Callithrix jacchus: one gene and its partner. Each later gene encodes a partner of the first gene's protein in a complex. Links are inferred from orthologs where the notes say so. Each region holds a gene or a part of one and is shown in the gene's direction. Other genes may lie near its edges.

Region 1 (10,300 bases):
AAACTGATAGTGATCAGTCTACCACATCCACCTCACCTGTGGGCTTTAAAAACATCCCTCCACGGGCCGGGCGTGGTGGCTTACGCCTGTAATCCTAGCACTTTGGGAGGCCAAGTGCTAGGATTTGGGATCACGAGGTCAAGAGATCCAGACCATCCTGGTCAACGTGGTGAAACCCCCGTCTCTACTAAAAATACAAAAAATTAGCTGGGCATGGTGGTGCGTGCCTGTAATCCCAGCTACTCAGGAGGCTGAGGCAGGAGAATTGCCTGAACCCAGAAGGCGGAGGTTGTGGTGAGCCGAGATCACGCCATTGCACTCTAGCCTGGGTAACAAGAGCGAAACTCCGTCTCAAAAAAAAAGCAAACATCCCTCCACATAAACAGAGTCTACGAGTGTTATATTCAGGGCATTGATCATTGTCTGCAGGTGCAGGGCAGGTAACTAAGGGAGTAATACTGGCCTGGTGGGATTCATCTCCAGTTGAGGGTGACACCCACTGCTTGCTCCAGCCTGTTGTAGCTTCTGCCCTGCCCCTGGGTTGGGCCTTTCAAGAGAGCTGAAAATAGGATCTTAATGAGAAATCTCCCAGTGTTGGCCAAATAAAACCTGAAACAGAAGGCATCTCTGTTTGATTCCAAATCAGTTTCCCCACAAGGCGAGGCCAACTCTGCCCTGAGTTCTCCCACCTGCCCACACCCTTATGTTCTCTGGAAATTCCCACTCAAAAGCCAGAACTCCCGGTTTAGACATTTTAATATGGATGTTTTGTTTTTAGATACTATTCCCGTTAGCTTATTCATACCATGTCACCTACAAATATGAAAAAATATTTCATGACTAGAATGATACCCAAAATTATTTAAACAATTATCAGGGGACTAGTGCCATCCAGTGACATGGCCCCTCTGAATGAGGAGGGTGGCAGGGGGGGGTGTGAAGAGATTCAAGGACTTGAATTTCCACCCCACTCAATTGGGATCCAGCTCCCAACTTTGCTGCCCCCTCCCCAAAGGCCCAAGTTGCCCCATATCTGGAACTCATCCGGTGGCACTACAGGCCAGCAACACCTTACCTTCCCTGCCCTCATTCAGGCAAAGGTCCAGGGCAGTTTGCTCCCATAGCCCATGGTATCCATCTGGGAAGAATGAAGGGTGATGGCACAATCCACAGCTAAGTGTATAACTGGGAATTATGGAGACACAAATCATTTCTCTCCCATACTCTCTTCCCATTTTTTTATAAACAAAAGATCTCATTATTGTCTGATTTCACCATCTCCTGAAGGCCCTGTGTCCTCCAAAGACTGAAGCTCTAAATGAGAATCTTCTGGGTCCTCTCTATTAAGAGCTATCTGCCCTCCCAGGGGAGGGAAGCAAATCCCTCAGGGCCCCCAGAGTTCCTGCACCCCATATCATGGGTGGGTCTCATGGGGCACAACGTCACCTGTCACCATGGAGAGGCTTAAGCTGCACTCAGAGCTCCCCCCGGGCATGCCGAATATAGTGTTGATGCAGCCCTGCTTCCTGAGCAAAGTCCTGACCACACTCTGTGCAGGCGAAGGTGCCAGGAGGGGCTCGGGCCTCATGCATCTGGCGGTGCCGCCTCAGAGAAGCAGCCTGCCCAAAGGTCTTGCCACAGTCAGGACAAGGGAAGATGGGTTGCGCAGTAGTGGTTGCAACCGGTTGGGTGGGCTTGACGGCTGGACCATGGCTGCGCTGGTGGGTGATCAGGGCTTTGGAAGAGGGGAAGGAGCGGGCGCAGGTGAAACAGATGAAGAGGACCCCCTGCAGCTTCTGGGCCACGAAATCCGCTGGGTGTTCCCGCTTCATGTGACGCTCCTGGAACTTGGAATCTGCGAAGGTGATGAGGCAGCGGGTGCACTTCGGGGCCCCCAGGTGGCCTGAGGGATGTGGGAAGAGGTCAGGGGAGGCCAGTGGGAGTCTCCAGGACCTCTCCTGAGCCCCAGAATCACACCAGCAATTAACATTGAGTGTGCTGTGTGCTAGGTTCTGTGCTAATGCTGGACGACCACACAGGAGAACTGTTCTTGGACTCATTTTATGGATGAACAAACTGAGATTCAAAGAGATTAGGAGGCTGAGGTGGGTGAGTTCAGGAGTTCAAGACCAGCCTCAGCAACACAGTAAAACCCCGTCTCTACTAAAATACAAAAAATTAGCTGGGCATGGCGGTATTCACCTGTAGTCCCAGCTACTCAGGAGGCTGAGGCAGGAGAATTCCTTGAACTTGGGAGGCAGATGTTGCAGTCAGCCGATATCATGCCACTGCACTCCAGCTTGAGTGACAGAGTGAGACTCCATCTCCCAAAAAAAAAGAGGTTAGGCAAGTTGCCCATAGTCATGAGGCTAGGAAAAGAAATGGTGGAGCCCAGAGTCAGCCAGCCCAATAGAGGGGTACGGTGATTACAGCCTAATGTTTGGAGCCAGACCGCTCCCCCACTTCCTAGACACAATCACACCAGTTTCTTTATCTGGAAAATGCACTAATAACAGCATCTATTCCATAGGACCACTGGAAGGAATAACTGAATTGCTATGTAGTCCTTTGCAATGGTGACTAATGATACAGACAATGTAGCTCGACACCCAGGATCAGCTCTGGAACTCACAGCTAGACCTTGGTGTTCTGTTGAACATAAATAATTTCTCACAACATCAAGGACAGCCAAGGCCATGCTGTGACAAGAATGAATCAAGACAAGACTACATCATCATAATGTCTGAACACAGACAAAATATGAATGCTGTCCAAGCAGACAAATGACCAACCTTCCTCCCATCCTGGCTAATGTGAATGTCCGCTGCTGCTTTATCAGTCAGAACTTGAGCCTCACCTTCTTCCTTCCCCCTTCTGCATAAGATTTATTAAAATAGCCAATCACAGAATTGCCCCTGCTTCCTGGTGGCATCCAATCCAGAGCCACCCAACACTTTTGCTGGAACCTTTTCCAAAACCACCCCCCACAAGCCCAAATCCTATGTCGTTTTTAACACTTAGTGAGTCACTCCACAGTTCTCCATGGTGTGTGTTCTTCATTGCACTGAGCCATAAACCCAATGTGTTCAACTGCGGGTGTGTTCCTGGTAGTCTCTGGCTCAAGGGCATTGAGACTACAGCTCTTGTTAGAAATACCTTTCTCTGCCTCAGTTCCCAGTTTAAAGGGCCTATTATTCGAAGGACTGAATGAGATAATGAATGTTAAAATCATTCATTAAGAATAAATACACGCAGCACATAATAAAACATTGAGCAGGAGATACTGCTATTACATATCAAACTGGCTACCATCATTAACACCCAGCTGTCCCCTTTGCTGCAGTTAATCCCATAACCACCCTGTAAGGTGGGTAGTGCCAGCCTCTTTTGACAGACTGGGAGACCAAGGCCCAAGTTACACTGAAAGTCTAGGGCAGAGTCAGCACTAGGATCTTGGGGCTTCTCTCCCAGTAAAACTATTCTTAGCCACATCTCCAACCCAAGCCTCTCCTGGAAGCCACCTTATCCCTCTGAATGCATAAGCATCGCAATCTTGCTTATGCGGCCAGAGGAGGGTGAGTACTCTGGCCACAAAAGCAGGTGTGAGGAGAGGCACTTCCTTCTGGAGCAGCTTATGGGCCATTACAGCACCTTCTCGACAGACAAAACTCTGTGGCGCCTTGGACACTAAAGTGCCACAGAGATCTTAGCGTCACTCCTGCATCCCACCCTCCTCTAGCCAGCCAGCCATGTGTACTCACAGATGTTGCCTCCTGGGCTCTGGGGACTTATGTCCTTGGGTGAATCCTGCTGCTCCATGTTCTCTTCAGGGTTCGGGTCCTCCATGGTGCTGGGACCCTTCTAGTCAAGAGAGGAGCGTGCATAAGTGAAGCTGTTCATCTGTTACCAGCAGAGGGCACCCTAAGTCTATGACCTTTGACATCGCCAGAGGCTCTCCTTGCCTGCCTTTGACCCCCACGACATACTCTCCTTGAACTCTAATTGGTGGAGTTCTTTTTAAGAGAAGCTTCAAATCTCCCAAAAGACTGGACTTCCCGGGTTTGGGACTCCCCTAGAGTCTTCTCACTGGTGTGACCTATGACCTGCTGCATCAAACTCACTGAACTCAGCCTGGGAGCCTTTATCTTTGACACCAGCGTCATCCCAGTCTCGAGTGTCTTGGGGCAAGTAGTGATACCCACCCTTTATCCCAGTTCTTCCCGGGAAACATCCTCTGACATCCTGTGATTTTTGTTCCGCCCAGAGCCCGCGCCGCGCTTGCAGCCACTATCCCGCTACCCGCAAGCGCTGCCTACAGGTTCCTGCTCCCAGGCCTCTGTTTTCCTTCGTACAGCAGAGGGCTGCCTTTCGCTGCGCCTGTCAGTCTCTCGCCACAGCGCCGCCACCCAGAGAGAAGTGGAATAGGGCCCACTCAGTCTCAGGGTCCCCCGTGGTTTGCGCCCTTTCGCCACATGAGTCTCTCGGAGCCGAGAGCCCGGATTTGCCATCCGGCAATAGTACAGTCGCACCAGCCCGGTGCTGAAAATAACGGGAGAGGTCCTTTTCTGCACTAGGGCGCGTTATGATGACGTTTAGCCCCCTGTGCCGTAGATACCTAAGCTTTTTGCGTCTGAATGAGTAGGCGCTCGTGGCGCGCAGGCGCGTTGACTCCCTCATTGTTCTAGGTTCTGAGGCCGCGGAAGAGGGGCGTGCGCACTTTGGCCGTTCTGCGCAGGCGCTGCGAAGGTCTGGTTCTCTGCAGTCTCGCTTCCAAGACACACCCCCTTGGTTGAGTGAGTGACGTCAGGTTAAAGCCAACGGGACGCGTCCCGGCATCTCTAAATCACGGCGTTCTGGCCTCTTCGGCCTCCGTCCACCGCGGCTTAGTGTCGAGCTTCTCCGCGACTGACCCACTGCCACCGACTGCACGCTCCCGTGGGTCGGCTCTGCTCGGTTGGTGATTTGGAAGGCGGAGAGGGGGAGGATAAAAACAACAGTGTGTCCGAGGGAGGAGGGACTGGAAGCCAAATTTCTGAGGTTTTATTTTTATTTATTTATTTTTGAGAGAGGGCCTTCATGGCCCACTGCAGCCTCCAAATCCTGAGCTGAAGCGACCCTCCCACCGCAGCCTTCCGAGTAGCTGGGGCTACAGGCGTGCGCCACCACTCCCGGCTAAATTTTATTTTTTTATAGGGACAGGGACTCTACCAGCGAGTCCCACATGTTACCCAGGCTGGTCTCGAATTCCTGGCCTCAAGCGATCCTCCCGCCTCGGCCTCCCAAAGCGCTGGGATTACAGGCATGAGCCACCGCCCCTGATTTTTGAGTTTTTGAAGCAGAAGGGGAAACGTTTCCATCTAGAAAGAGGGTGGGCAGACAGGATGCCTGGGATCCCGGGGGAATAGCGTCTGGGCTCTGGCTTTTTAGGTCCCGGAGAATGACGCTCAAGAATCGAAGGGGACAGAGTGGAGGATTGAGTCCTGGGTTCCGGGTGGGGCGGCTAGGAAAGACAAAGGCCAGGTGTTCACTGACCCGGGTCTTCTCCACCCGTTGCTTTCCAGCCATGCCTCCGCCGCAGGGTGACGTGACCGCCTTATTCCTCGGGCCTCCGGGCTTGGGAAAGTCTGCGCTGATCACAGCGCTGTGCGACAAGGATGTGGAGACCCTCGAGGCCCCTGAGGGACGGCCGGACTCTGGGGTCCCCAGCCTGAGAGCTGCGGGCCCGGGCCTTTTTCTGGGCGAGCTGAGCTGTCCACCCGCAGCGCCGGGGCCCTGGGCGGCGGAAGCCAACTTGCTGGTACTGGTGCTGCCGGGACCTGAGGGCAACGGCGAACCCTTGGCCCCAGCCCTGGGAGAGGCAGCGCGGGCCGCCCTGGCCCGAGGGACGCCGCTACTGGCTGTGCGGAACCTCCGTCCTGGGGATTCACAGAATGCCACCGAGGCCCGTGATCAGACTGCAGCTCTGCTGAACAGCGCTGGGTTAGGAGCCGCGGATCTGTTTGTGCTACCGGCGAACTGTGGCAGCTGCGACGGCTGTGAGGAGCTAGAGCGCCTCCGGGTGGCACTGCAGAGCCAGGCAGAAGCGCTGAGGAGGTGAGTGCCGGCTTTCTGGCTGGGTCCCTTAGTTGGGACCCTACGCACCTAGGTCCTTTTTGAGGTCCGTGAGATCCCTCCCCCACTGGTTTTGAGGCAAAGCTTAACTCTATTATTGTATATTTTTTTCCGTCAAAGACAGGATCTCGCTATGTTGGCTAGGTTGAATTTGAACTCTTGGCCTTAAACAATACTCCCGCCTCAGCCTCCCAAAGTGCTAGGATTACAGTCGAGAGCCACCATACCCAGTCTTTTTTTGAGACAGGATGGAGTGCAGTGGCACAATCCTAGCTCACTGAGGGCCTCCACCTCCTGGGCTCAAATGATCCTTCTGCCTCAGCCTCCAGAGTAGCCAGTACTACAGGCTACAAAATAGGATCTCACTGCTTCCCCAGGCTGGTCTTGAACTCCTGGCCTCAAGCCACGCTCCCACCCAGGCTTCCCAGAGCCCTAGGATTAGAAGGGAAGGGCTTAACACTTTATTTGTTGGGGCCCTGAGGCTCATTTTTCCAGTCCCTGGCCCAACCAAGGTGATCTGCCTGCCTTGACCTCCCAAAGTGCTGGAATGACAGGCATGAGACACTGTGCCCAGCCCCCTGGAAGATTTTACCTGAAAATGATAATCCTTGAGCCGTCTCCACCATTAGCTTGGTTTTCAAGCGACCTCGGTTGCCCTAAAGCCATACTCGCAATGAGTGTTATTATTAAATATATTATTTTATTCATTTATTTGAGATGGCGTCTTACACTGTTTCCTGGGCTAGACTGCAAAGGTGCGATATCGGCTCATTACAACCTCTGCCTCCTGGGTTCCAGCTATTCTGCTTCAGCCTCTCACGTAGCTGGGATTACAGGCACCCGTCACCATGCCCGGCTATTTTTTTTCTCTCCTTTTTTGGGGGTATTTTTGGTAGAGACGGGGTTTCACTATGTTGGCCAGCCTGGTCTCAAACTCCTGACCTCACAATCCGCCCACCTTGGCCTCCCAAACTGCTGGGATTACAGGCGTGAGCCACGGCGCCTGGCCACTGAGCATTATTTGGGGGCGTCCTCATCCACCTCCTTTCTCCAGCTCCCTCTTGTTTCTGTGCCCACTTGCCAGGTACCTCCTGAATTGGCTCTCCCACCTGCCAGCCTCATCATTTTCAGACTTTAAAATGAGATTCACAGAGGCAGTTCCTTGTTCCAGTACTCTCATCTTTTTTCCTTAGCCTCACCTGCCTGGGTGACTACCTTAGCCACTCCTGCTTAGTACGAACTAGTAGATGAGATTTCTCCCTTCATTGACCCTCCTTAGGCCCAACCTCTGAAAAGAGTGCCTTTGGGGACTTTGTCTGTCTCAAATAGTACTGAGACAGACACATTTGCGGTTATTTGTTCTAGGCCCCACCCTCTTTGAGCTTTGTCCCGCCCAGCACAGCTGACCCTTGGAAAAGCCCCGCCCCCAAATACTGTATTCGGTAGAAGTCTTAGTCCAATCCCCATTTTAGGCTAGGGTGGGAAATCTGACCTTAAGCCCACCCATCCAATCATCAAGACTCCATTATTGCTTTAAGCCTCTCCCATATCATCATGGCCCCTCCCCATCTGGTTTCTATTTGCTGTGCAATCAGTCAGGCCCCTCACTTTCCCTCCGCTGCCCCACTCTGAGATTACTCGGAAAGCTCTGCCATTGTCATCATAGCCCAGTCCTTGTCACCCAGCCCCTCTTCTACCCTTGACCCTGTCCTTTCTTGTCTCCGCAGGCTCCTGCCACCGGCCCAGGATGGTTTCGAGGTGCTAGGTGCAGCAGAGCTGGAGGCTGTGCGCGAGGCCTTTGAGACCGGCGGCCTGGAGGCTGCGCTGTCGTGGGTACGCTCAGGCCTGGAGCGCCTGGGCAGTGCACGGCTAGACCTGGCCGTGGCCGGCAAGGCTGATGTGGGCCTTGTGCTGGACATGCTGCTCGGATTGGATCCTGGCGACCCAGGTGCTGCGCCTGCTTCGGTGCCCATGGGACCCACTCCCTTCCCGGCCCCAGAGCGCCCGAATGTGGTGCTCTGGACTGTGCCTCTGGATCCCGCGGGCACTGCCACCACCCCCGCTGCCACCTCCCACTCTTCGCACTACGACGCCCTCATCCTCGTCACCCCTGGGGCCCCCACTGAGAAGGACTGGGCCCAGGTCCAGGCCTTGGTGCTACCAGATGCGCCTCTCGTCTGCGTGCGCACAGACGGCGAGGGTGAGGATCCGGAGTGTGTGGGAGAAGGCAAGATGGAGAAACCCAGCGGAGAGAGCTTAAAGAATGCGGGCGGAGGGGGACTGGAGAATGCACTCAGTAAGGGAAGGGAGAAATATAGCACTGGATCGCAGAAAGCAGGCAGCAGGGAAGGTTCTGGGAAAGCTGGCAGCGAGGGTTTGCAGCAGGTTGTTGGCATGAAGAAATCGGGCGGTGGGGACTCAGAGCGGGCCGCCGCGTTAAGCCCAGAGGACGAGATGTGGGAGGTGCTGGAGGAGGCACCGCCGCCAGTGTTTCCCCTACGGCCTGGCGGACTCCCAGGGCTGTGCGAATGGATGCGGCGAGTGCTCCCCCCAGCCCAGGCAGGGGCGCTGCTGCTGGCGCTGCCACCAGCGTCTCCCAGCGCTGCCCGAACCAAGGCTGCGGCACTACGAGCCGGGGCGTGGAGGCCAGCTCTGCTGGCTAGCCTGGCGGCTGCGGCAGCACCACTCCCAGGACTGGGCTGGGCATGCGACATAGCGCTTCTGCGGGGTCAGCTGGCCGAATGGCGACGGGGCCTAGGGCTGGAACCCGCGGCGCTGGCTCGACGTGAGCGCGCTCTGGGCCTGGCTCCTGGTGAGCTGGCAGCGCGTGCTCGTTTCCCAGGCCCAGTGACGCGCGCTGAGGTGGAAGCAAGGCTGGGCGCGTGGGCGGGTGAGGGCACTGCTGGGGGCGCAGCACTGGGCGCGCTCTCCTTCCTGTGGCCTGCTGGTGGCGCAGCGGCGACAGGTGGCCTGGGCTACCGAGCGGCTCATGGCGTCCTGCTGCAGGCACTCGATGAGATGCTGGCTGATGCTGAGGCCGTGCTGGCACCCCCTGAGTCTGCACAGTGAGGGGTGGGATGGGGGCTAGACTCCCCCAAGTTTCACCTCAAGGGGAGGGGGCTTGGGAATCCAGATTCTGGCAGGGGTTGTCTGGGCTTAATTCTGGGTGCTTGAAGGGGAGGTGGACTCTGACATCTAGCTGGGATATGTGATTTCTCATCACCTGGATTCAGAGAGTCTAGAGGACAGGAATCCTGATTTCTTTGGTAACTATGGGGCATGACATCCAGACCCTTCAGTACTGAAGGGAGTTGGTGGCCAGGACTCTGGAAGGGACTATGTCTTTGTCTCCCAGGGAGTAGAAACTGGAGTTATTGGATGTTTAGTCCTCCAGTGGAGGAGGGTAGAAGTCCTGTTTCCTAATTGGTGGGGAGATGTCCATGACTGGGATTTGAGCTCCAGTATAGGGGTGGGAGACCTGAGCACCCCAGGGAACTGAAACTCATGGGCTTCAGAGCCTCAGGGAAACAGGGTCTACATTTCTCTTGGAGAAAAAGCCTGTACACAGGTCCCCAAGGAGCAGTGGGCTTTGAATCTTTATGGGGTTGAGGAGGCCTCTGGGGTCTTGGCCTCCTGGGTTCCAAGATGGCTGGGGACCTTGGTTCCTAATTCTTGGGTCTGGGGAGGTCTGCATCTGGAGGAGGGATTGAGGGCTTGTGGGAGAAAGCTGGAGACCTCTTGATCACTCCTGGGGAGTAGATGGGTTTCTACTAATTGCCCTCCAAAAGTCTGTTTGTAGAGACAGTGGTCCCACAAAAATGAGGTGAGGTACGTAAGAGATCTGGGCAGGGTGGGCTCTGAGAGTAGCTGGGGACCAGGAATGAGGCCTTCTGGGTGTGAAAGGGCAGGAAAGCAAACCTCAGAGATAGAGCTCCTGCAGACCTTGTGTTGGGATCCCAGCAACTGCCTCTGTGAGTGTGACTGGGAAGGGATGTAACTGCCTTCACTTTCTAGGTGCAGAGCAATTCAGGTGATCTCTGGGGAGTCTGTTCCTGTGTCTCTTTTCTTTAGGGGTTTCTATCTGTTTTTGGCCTCGGTTTCTCCTGTCATTTAACCATAACCTTTTCTGACCTTGGTGTTTTGTGCACCTTCCTTTTTGGAAGAGCAGCTGTACTCCTGCACTGGTCCC
Region 2 (10,524 bases), on another chromosome or scaffold:
AGTGGGTGGATCACGAGGGTCAGGAGCTCAAGACCAGCCTGGCCAACCAAGATGGTGAAATCCCGTCTGTACTAAAAAAAAAATCTCCAAAAATTGGCCAGGCATGGTGGCAGGCACCTGTAGTCCCAGCTACTTGGGAGGCTGAGGCAGAAGAATCACTTCAACCCAGGTGGCAGAGGTTGCAGTAAGCCAAGATCATGCCACTGCACCTCCACCCTCGGTAACAGAGTGAGACTCCGTCTCGAAAAATTTTTTTTTTTTTTGGCTGAGGCAGGAGAATTGCTTGAACCTGGGTGGTGGAGGTTGCAGTAAGCCAAGATAATGCCACTGCACTCCAGCCTAGGTGACTCCATCTAAAAAAAAAATTTTTTTTTTTAAGAGACAAGGTCTTGCCAAGTTGCCCAGGTTGGTCTCCAACTCCTGGGCTTAAGTATCCTTCTGCCTTGACCCCCACAGTGCTGGGGTTACAGGAATGAACCACTGCACCTGTTCCCACACTGCACATTTTAATCATGTTCCTTTCTCCTTTATAGAAGCTCCTATTCATGGTCTCTAGAATTAGGTTAGAACTTCTGAATGTTTGCCTCAAAGCTTTCCAACATTGTATTTACTTATCTATACTGCTTTCCTGTTTCCTCTTCCAAACCCATACTTTGTTTTTATCTGGAAAGGAAAAGTTTACCCATTGAAAAATGTATACCCTTCTCTCTATATCAGAAGACACATTCTCCATGAAGTCTTTCTTGCTAATTCTCACTTGGCTTTGTGCTGACCCCCATTGCCCTAGCAATGCCTCAGTATCCATGTTCACATACCTCTCCAACATTCGAAATTCACTCTGTGTGTTTTAGAGATCTGTTAATGTGTAATGACATTGCATAGATTCATTATCCTATTTCTCCTGCTGACTTACCTCAACTAACCACCCGCTCAAGGAAGGCATCCATTGTCCTTAGAACACTCCATAGCTAAATACAATGACCCACCATGTAAAGAAGGTAGTATGTAACATCAAGGCGGATGAGATATGCCAATTAGAAGGGTGAACTGGGAAAAGACACCAAGAAAGTGGGTAAGGATGGAAGACCAAAATGCTTTGCACAACATTGAGACCATTAGGAGACATGACTGTGAATTGGTGAGCAGTGAAACTTTCCCCTGAGAACTGTTCTCAGCTCTGTAACATGCAAGGCAATATTCATATATCTAGGACTAGGACACAGTGACCAGCTCTGTAAAGGGAAGCAGCGGTGTTGAGTCCAATTTCTAACTCCTCCACTGGCTCACTGAGATGATGAACCACCATCTTCATTCTTCAGTGTTTAATTCTATTTGTAGATAGGTATTTTCATTTATAAACTCCCTGTCCACCTACTTTTACCCATATCAATAGCTTTAAATATTTCTCTCTAAATTTGAGACACATAGCACTATCTACCAACTCTACATTTTCACCTGGATATGTCTCTTGGACATTTCATATTTAATATCTCTAAAACCAAACTCTTGTTTTACACTCCCCAAGCTGGTTCCCCCCTATTTCAGTAAATGGTATTTCCATCCTTCCAGAAATCTTGATTTTGATCTGTCCCTCATTATCTTACATCCAATCTATCAGCAAATGTTACCAGTTCTACCTTCAAAATATATCCAGAATACAACTGCTTCTGTCAACCCCAGCTTGGCCTAAGCCAACATCATCTTTCACCAGGATGATGAATAGCCTCTCAACTATTTCCCTGCTTCTACCCTCAGCCCCTACAATATACTAAGCTAGCCTTTTGAAAAGGAAAGTCAGTCTGTGCTACATCTCTGATTAAAACCCTATACTGGGCAGAGCACAGTGGCTCATGCCTATAATCCCAGCACTTGGGGAGGTTGGGGCAGGCCAATCACGAGGTCAAGAGATTGACAGCATCCTGGCCAAGATGGTGAAACCCTGTCTCTACTAAAAATACAAAAATTAGCGGGCCATGGAGGTGTGTACCTGTAGTCCCAGCTACTCAGGAGGCTGAGGCAGGAGAATCACTTGAACCCGGGAGGCAGAGGTTGCAGTGAGCCAAGATTGCACTCCAGCCTGGCAACAGAGCAAGATTCCATCTCAAATAAAACCAAACCAAATGAAACCAAACCAAACAAAAAAAAAACGTACACTGACTTCTTATCTTATTCTAAATAACATCCAAAGTTCTCTGCATGGAATTTAAAGCTCTACACAGTTTTGTTCTAGATCTCTTTGAATTTGTCTCGTAACACAGCTCTCCTCTCTTACTTAGCTCCAGCCACAGGGCTTCCCTAGAATATGTCAGCCACTTTATCTAATTAGCATTCCATTCCAACACACTCTCTAGTCACCTGCCCTGCCTAATTTTTCTAAACAGCATCTGTCAGTACCTGACATATTTATTTTTTGTCTTGTCCCACTAGAATATGTCAGGGAGACAAGAATATGTCATGCTCCCACCCATGAGAACAGGGGTGTCATCTGTCTTCAGTTTTTTCCCCAGCACCTAGCACAAAGCTCTTACATGTAACAACAGTAATTTCTAAGTAGGAAATTCAAAGGCTTTTTCACTTCATTAAAAACAAACAAACAGGCTGGGTGCCGTGCCTCACGCCTGTAATCCCAGCACTTTGGGAGGCCGGGGCAGGCGGATCACCTGAGGTTGGGAGGTCCAGACCAGCCTGACCAACATAGAGAAACCCCATCTCTACTAAAAATAAAAGATAGCCAGGCATGGTGGCGCATGCCTGTAATCCCAGCTACTCGGGAGGCTGAGGCAGGAGAATTGCTTAAACCTAGGAGGTGGAGGTTGTGGTGAGCCGAGACAGCGCCACTGCACTCCAGCCTGGGCAACAAGAGCGAAACTCTGTCTCAAAAACAAAACAAAAATACAATCATTAGTTGGGTGTGGTGGTACATACCTGTAATCCCAGCTACTCAGGAGGCTGAGGCAGGAGAATAGTTTGAACCCAGGAGGCAGAGGTTGCAGTGAGCTGAGATCAAGCCACTGCACTCTAGCCTGGGTGACAGAGGGAGACTCCGTCTCAAAAAAGACAAAAACAAAACCAACCAACAAACAAAAAACCCCAAAACCCACCTAACCAACCAACCGAACAAAAACCAAACAAACAGGTGCAGTGGCTCACGCCCAGTACTCTGGGACTTTGGGAGGTCGAGGCAGGCAAATCACTTAAGGTACAAAGTTGGAGACCAACCTGGCAAAACCCCATCTCTACCAAAAATACAAAAACTAGCTGGGAGGGGTCGTGCATGCCTGTAGTCCCAGCTACTCAGGAGGCTAAGGCAGGAGAGAATCGCTTGAACCCGGGAGGCAGAGTTGCAGTGAGTCGAGATGACACCACTGCACTCCAGTCTGGGCAACAAATCGAGGGCCTGCCTCAAAAAACAAAAACGAAGACAAAGGAACAAACAAACATAAAACCTATTCTGATTGGTCAGACACACAGTCTTAAAATAACAAAAATACTTTTAGAATGAAGCTAGATTCCACAGCATCAATTGGGAATTTCCAGTGTAGGAAATGATGAACTAGCATGTTCAAACATACAGGCTTTACAGGTGCATCAGAATCACAAGCATGTGGCAGGGTTCATGTGCCCAAATTAAGTGAATATTCTTGCTACGTGCTCAGCAGCTTATAAACAGATGGTGACCTAGACCAGACTGCCTTGATGACTCTGCTTGGAAGAAAGGCATTACATCACTGGCTGGAGAACCTCAAGGCATATGTCTGGGCAGGTGACACACACAGCTTGGGCTGTGACTGCTAAACCACTCCCACAGCCAAACAAGGAAACCCATCTCATGACCAGCTCTCAGGGGAATTCTCCAAGCCTGACTGTCACCTCTAACTCCTCTGCCAGTTAAGGTTAAAGGGTCTGTGATCAGTTATGTTATACTCTTCAAATGTGCATTTGTTTGTCTGTTTGTTTTTGAGACAGAGTCTTGTTCCCACCCAGGCCATCTTGGCTCACTGCAACCTCCGCTTCCCGGGTTCAAACGATTCTCCAGCCACAGCCTCCCAAGGAGGTGGGACTACAGGTGTGTGCCACCATGCCTGGCTAATTTTTGTATTTTTAGTAGAAATGGGGTTTTACCCTGTTGGCCAGTCTGGTCTCGAACTCCTGACCTCAGGGGATCCTCCTGCCTCGGCTTCCCAAAGTGTTGGGATTACTGGCGGGAGCCACCACGTCCTACCTCGAATGTGCATTTCGTAAATGTTTATTCAAATAGATTCACGAATAAGGGAAGAAAATGGGATTTGTTTAAATTCAATTTCTAGGTCCAAGGCAACCTATTACCGCTGTCCCTAATACTGGACGTCCAGGTTGTCCTCAGTGCTGCTTCCTACACAGTGTCCTCAAACACCACCCCTCCCATACTGTGCCCCCACCCTGTCACCACTCCGAGCAATAACCCCCAAACTGTCAACGCCCAAAACAGCTCCCTTGTCATCGCCAAGCACTAGAGACTCCCCTTAAGTCATTCTTACTCCCAAAGACCGTTCTTGTCACCAATTCCCTATTCAGACCTCCCCTATAAACGCTCTAAGAGCCCTCAACTATCAGCCACACCCCCAAAGAGCCCTCAGAGCCATACACTATCAGCCAGACGCTTCCCGCCACAAACACTCCCGAGACCCCACTCCTGTCACCAGTTCCCCGAACATTTCTTCCTGGGGTCGCCGATATTGCTCACAGACGCCCCCGTAACCAACTTCACCGCCTCCGCAGCCTAGTAGCCCCCAGAAGGAGCCCTCCGTGACTACGTGCGGCCCCGCCCCTTGGCATAGCTTCCTGGCCAGTGGCGCCGGAAGCCCCGCCCCTGACCGGTTGCTAGGCTCCAGCAGCCGGAAGTCCCGCCTGCCGTGTAGTCGCCTCCGTCGCTGCTACCGCCGCCGCCGTTGTTGTTGTGGTCGGTACGCCGAGTTCCACGGCTCCGAGAGCCGGTTCCATCCCCTCCCCGCCGCCGCCATGAAGTGGATGTTCAAGGAGGACCACTCTTTGGGTAAGCACTTGGCCATCGGACCGGCCGCGGGGGGCCGCGGCGGCAGGTGGGCCCCCTCCCCCACTCGGGCGGCCCTGGGCCGGGTGAAGCAGGACGTATGCCGCGCTCCGGGCTCGAGCCGCCAAGGCTCCGGTGCCACGAGCAGCCGTCCCTCGACCCCGCGTCACTCTCCGCGGACCCCCCTGGGAGCTAGGGGACAGGACCGCGGCCGTGGGGACGCCGGAACGAGGGCCTGGGCTGTGCGCAAGGCGCAGGAGGAGGAGGGCCGAGGGCCCGGAACCGACCTGTGGGCAGGCGCGGCCGTCAGCCCTGTTTGTTTCTGCCACAGAACACAGATGCGTGGAGTCCGCGAAGATCCGAGCGAAATATCCTGACCGGGTTCCGGTGAGTGATTGGACTCTCCGCCCCCTCACCTCGCTGTCACCTCTGTCATCTGGGAGCCGTGATAGGCCCTAGGCCATTCAACAGTTGACAAGTTGAGGTTCCATTCCCAGTTGTAGTAGAGGACGGGCCAGACTGCGATGAGGCCGCCCAGGGCCGGGGCGTGAGGGGCTCGGGCTGGTGCTGTTCAGGGTGCCTCAGTGCTGAATCTCCGGATCTAGGCCAGCGAGAGCTGTCTGCAGCCTCGGGGCTCCCTGGCCAATTATGTAAGGAACGATGTTCTAGGACAGGGCAACAGGTCACTGCCACTTTTGGGAACGGTGGTGGAGGGAGACTGTCACTTTGGTCTTGGAAGTGGTACTTGAGTCTCAGGACCTTCACCTTTTACTTGGAGCCTCCATCTTTACCCAAATTCTGGCTCCGTTGCCTCACCTTGACCCTGTCATCCCTGCCTGACCAAAACAATGTGAGAAGCCGCTGAAAACCCTTTTCTGTTATGCTTTCTTCCTAGTCAGTAGTAAATATATTTTTTCCATGTTTGGGGAGATAGTTTTGTAATTCTTGTTAATTTTTAATGGACATTAAGGCCTGTTATTGTAGCTCTTTGCTTGTGAATAATTCCGTTGGGGGAAGGAGGGACGGATTTGAAACTTGTTCAGAGAAGAGCAACAGGCCAAATGAAGAGCTTGGTTCTTGGCTGGCTGAAATTCCAGGCATTCCCATTAGTCCATCTGTTCTTGTCTCCTGTGTTCCTTGGGAACACAGTAGTGTTTCCTGTAGTGTGAAGGGGATCCATTCTGGGGTCCTGGAGTAATGGGCTATGGATGTGGATCCCCACATATTCTTAGGTCTGCCCAGATAAAATGTGGAAAAGCTTAGTAGTAAGGGCTGCATTTTTCTTACATAACTGACCACAGAAAAGCACTTACCGTTTCCCTATAACCCATTTATATCAATTCTTAACCTCCAGAGCATGTGGTTATTAAGCCAAAGACATATTTTCTCCTGCTATGCAGTTTCCCACCCACCTCCTTGCCCACACTCTGTTCCTCAGCTCCTCAGCCTTGAGGCCAGAGCCTGGCTTTAGAAACCCAGTCCTGACCTCTCTTTATTTTCCCAGGTGATTGTGGAAAAGGTCTCAGGCTCTCAGATTGTTGACATTGACAAACGGAAGTACTTGGTTCCATCTGATATCACTGTGGCTCAGTTCATGTGGATCATCAGGAAAAGGATCCAGCTTCCTTCTGAAAAGGCGATCTTCCTGTTTGTGGATAAGACAGTCCCACAGTCCAGGTGAGAGGTGTTTACTAGATGGGTCCTCTGGTGTTAGACATCTGGTTGGCTGCTTAGAGAACTCAAAAACTTTGGAGGTCTGAAAACTCTTGGGGGTTCTGACTAGAAATCTGGATTTTGTGCTCCCTGACATCAGGGGCTCCAGGAAAATAACGGCTGCAATACATAAGGGTGCATTTTAGATTCGGAAAATAGAACAAGGCCTGGACTTCTAAAAAAGGGATGAAACTCAGCCTGAGACCTCCAAGAATCTTTTAAAACATTGAGGACTTATTTAGGCTTAAGCCATAGGTAGAACTGATGCCTGAAATGAGGTTTTCTTCCCTGAAGACAGTCTGGCCACTCTCCTCCACTGGGAACCTGTGGGTTCTGCTGAGGCTTACTCAGTTAATCAAGCGGTTTGCGTGCTCCCAAACTTCGTCAGCTCTCTGCCATTGTAAGAGTCTATAGCTGTCTGATCCTCAAGTCTGACAAAATGACTGCAGCACAGTAAAGGGCTCTGAAGTCTCTTTACAGACTTAAACCTTCCTTGGTAGCACCTGCTTTGACTGTCAGACTATGGTGCTGCCTGGAAGCAGTCTTTGGGAGTGTAACTTGCAGCCCGAATGTAGGCAGGGGCATTAGAATTTCCATTTTCTGTGTATTTGACAGCCCAGCTTTAGTCCCCTCTGGAATGAGGAAAATGGACAGGCTCCGTCTAAGCTCCTGGTCAGTCCTTTCCTGTTACTGAGTGGGTAGTTCTAGGCTCTGATCCAGATTCTGGCCCTCACCTCTCCCCTGAGTGTGAGTTCCTGGCCACATCTTACCTTAGTGACCCAAAGTAGGTTTCATTTACCACCCCCAGAAGTAATACTTCTAAAAGTGAAGGCTTTCAGAAGCCCTGGGAACTAGCCCAATGTTGCCCAGATAGGTTCCTGTTGAAAATCCTTGAAGACTTCCTAAGAGGCCCGTGCCAAATTCCAGACTTTATTTCTGTTAAAGGTGGAAAGCTCTGGCTATTTTTTGGTCTGATTACCTGTTTCCCAGTCTCTACCACCTCCACTTCCTGGTGTCTGGTAGAAAGGCAGGGGAGAAATGGAAGCTCCTTCCCTAAGGCCAGTGTCCAACCTGAGGAGATAGCCCAGGGCCTGCCCACTGGACACCATTGGTCTGCTGCAGCTGTAGCTCTGGAAGCTGTGGTGTTGCTTGAGGTGATTTTGTCATCCATGGGGCTCTTCCAACCTTCCTTCCCAGGCCTCAGGGCTATCTTCACGAGAGGAGGAAGCCTTGGGCATTCATAGTTACCCTGGGCTTTCCTTAAGGTGACTGGGGAAGTAATCTTTTATACCATCTGCAATTTCTGCAGAGCCTTGGTGACCCTGTGTTTTCTCCTTCCCAGAGGTGGTCGCTTAGTGGAAGTAAGTGACTAGGACCTATGGCATTAAGTTTATTTTCCTCAATTCTGATTCTCTGGTTCTTCTCAAAGGAAATGAAGCAGGCTTCTGGAGACCTTATGATTACTCTGATGGCTCCACAGTAATCTAGCAATTAAAATGACTACAGTCTTATCAACTGTCCCCTCCCCCATTTTCCCTGAGATATAAATAGAATTGGAAATTAAAAATGATTTTTCAGGGCAGCAGAGACTGTTTCAAGGCCATTTTCTTTTTTTTCTCCTTTTTTTTTCAAGGCCATTTTCTCTCCAAGTCCCATTTGCCTTTCCAGTGTGGCGAGAACCTTAAAGCAGATTACACTAGTAACTGTAGTTAGGATTTTAGGTCGGAGTAACCAGAAATCCAAATCCTCACCCTTCAGGATTTAGAGTCCCCAGCCAGGGCCCTTTTGCCCAGCCCATCAGCTCCTTTGGCCCCAGTTAATGACTTGTCTCCTTACACTTAATGCAACTGTTCATTCTGGGGTTTTATTCTCAAAAACCATTCTGTTTTTCTGAGACGGAGTCTCACTGTTGCCCAGGTTGGAGTGCAATGGTGCAATCTCAGCTCACTGCAACCTGTGCTTCCTAGGTTCAAGTGATCCTCCCACCTCAGCCTCCCTAATAGCTGGGACCACAGGTGTGTGCCACCACACCCAGCTAAAAATACAAATTTGTGTCTAAACAAAGGAGGCCATGTGACATCATTGGGCTTTATGCAAATTAATACTCCAAAGCAGCATAAACGAAAATACCACAGGATCCTTCCTAAAGCTGGCTGTAACTCCCCTTCACCATCTCTTCCCCAAGACAGTTTAGCTGCCTCTTCCTCAGGTCTTTCCAGCCTCTTTAGAGAAACATGGAGCCTCCCTTAACCTTCATGCAGTGCTTGCTGGTTTCAAAGGGTGGCTGGGGAAATTAGAGAAAGGACGAATTCAAGCCTGCACAAGCCCTCCCTCTCTGGTGACTGACTGGTATGCATGAAGATCAATTATGGCTGAGGATGAAGGGGAGTAACTTCTCATTTATTTCTGCCTTTCAGTAGAAAACAGGCAGTCACTATGTAAAGTGTCATGATTTTTTTTTTCTTTTTTTAAAAAAAAAAAATTTACAAAAAATTTTTTTTTTTTAATTTAAAGACGGGGTTTCAGCATGTTGGTCAGGCTGGTCTTGAACTCCCGACCTCAGGTTATCCGCCTGCATTGGCCTCCCAGAGTGCTGGGATTAGAGGGTTGAGCCACCGCACCCGACCCAAGTGTCATGATTTTTATTGAGAGTTGTTACTATTAAATATTAATTATTTAAATAGAGACATAGGTAAGTCCCTAAGTTTTACTTCCTAAATTCTAAGTTCTTGTTTCTTTTAAAAAAGGAGGAATCACAGTGGCCTTTTCCCATTTAGCACTGGAAAGTTGAATTGTCTGCGCAGGTGCCTGCATCAAGAATCAGGCCAAAACAGGAAGGGGAACTTTGTGCAGACAGAACTTTAGAAACAACGTCAGTGTACAAGTTTCCTAGTCATGGCCTTAGAGAGGAACTCGGACCTGGCATTGTATGGTCTTTGTTGGTTGAGAACCTAGATAAGAGTCGTCTTAATCCTCTGTTTAAAATAGAAACAGGAGTATATCATTAAATAAAAGATCTCTAAGATACTGGTTTTTTGTTGTTGTTGAGACAAGGCCTTGCTCTGTCACCCTGGCTGGAGTGCAGTGGTGCAGTCAGAGGTCACTGCAACATTGAACTCCTGGGCTTGAGCAATCCTCCCACCTCACCAGGGTGGTCTCAAACTCCTGGCTACGAGTGACCTCCTGTCTTGGCCTCTTAGAGTGCTGGGATTATGGGTATTAGCCACCATGCTTGGCCAGGTATTATAATTTGAGATTGAGACACCTGTGCTGTTTAACAATCTGGTGTTTAGTTGCTTGTTGATCTTAAAGAGATCTTAAGTAAGAGGAAGTTGTGATGTCTTAGATATGGAAAGTGGTTTTCAGGGCAACAGAGTCTGCTTCAAGGCCATTTTCTCTCCAAGTCCCATTTGCCTTTCCAATCTGCTGAGAATCCACCCTAAGGCAGATTATACCAGTAACCCAAGTCAGGATTTTAGGACAGAGTAACCAGAAATCTAAGTCCTGACCCATCAGGCCCCAATTAATGACTTCTTACCCCACACGTATTCATCCTTTATTTAGAAATGTGCTTAAAGCACTTTGATCATTTCTGGGTAAATACCACTTTAAGGCAGGACATTTTTTTTTTTTTTTGAGACGGAGTTTTGCTCTTTTTGTCCAGGCAGGAGTGCAGTGGCATGATCTCGGCTCACCACAACCTCCGACTCCCAGGTTCAAGTGATTTTTCTGCCTCAGCCTCCTGAATAGCTGGTATTACTGGCTCCTGCCACCATGACTGG

The links. The genes of interacting proteins can lie anywhere in the genome.
Region 2: the proteins of IRGQ (region 1) and GABARAPL2 are in contact, whole or in part, in a crystal structure (PDB 8Q6Q), measured with the Homo sapiens proteins. The link is inferred for Callithrix jacchus from reciprocal best matches to the Homo sapiens genes IRGQ and GABARAPL2. Residues at the interface, in NP_001007562.1 of Homo sapiens: Asp7, Thr9, Leu11, Pro47, Leu49, Phe57, Pro70, Trp71, Glu74, Pro181, Ala182, Gln183, Asp184, Gly185, Phe186, Glu187, Val188, Leu189; in NP_009216.1 of Homo sapiens: Ser10, Glu12, His13, Cys15, Val16, Glu17, Ala19, Lys20, Ile21, Ala23, Lys24, Tyr25, Arg28, Pro30, Lys46, Lys48, Tyr49, Leu50, Val51, Pro52, Phe60, Ile63, Arg67, Phe104.

The regions. Positions count from the first base shown.
Region 1 is NC_133523.1:38,085,683-38,095,982, reverse strand, and holds the start of IRGQ (immunity-related GTPase family Q protein), read left to right. Parts: upstream 1-4,663; 5' UTR 4,664-4,746; intron 4,747-4,867; exon of another isoform or gene 4,868-5,037; intron 5,038-5,561; 5' UTR 5,562-5,563; coding exon 5,564-6,093; intron 6,094-7,838; coding exon 7,839-9,180; 3' UTR 9,181-10,300. Other genes in the region: ZNF576 (zinc finger protein 576), read right to left, coding at 1,476-1,903, 3,762-3,846. UniProt on the Homo sapiens protein: Autophagy receptor that specifically promotes clearance of misfolded MHC class I molecules by targeting them to the lysosome for degradation.
Region 2 is NC_133521.1:32,967,559-32,978,082, forward strand, and holds the start of GABARAPL2 (gamma-aminobutyric acid receptor-associated protein-like 2), read left to right. Parts: upstream 1-4,889; 5' UTR 4,890-4,998; coding exon 4,999-5,032; intron 5,033-5,360; coding exon 5,361-5,416; intron 5,417-6,533; coding exon 6,534-6,706; intron 6,707-10,524. UniProt on the Homo sapiens protein: Ubiquitin-like modifier involved in intra-Golgi traffic. Modulates intra-Golgi transport through coupling between NSF activity and SNAREs activation. It first stimulates the ATPase activity of NSF which in turn stimulates the association with GOSR1.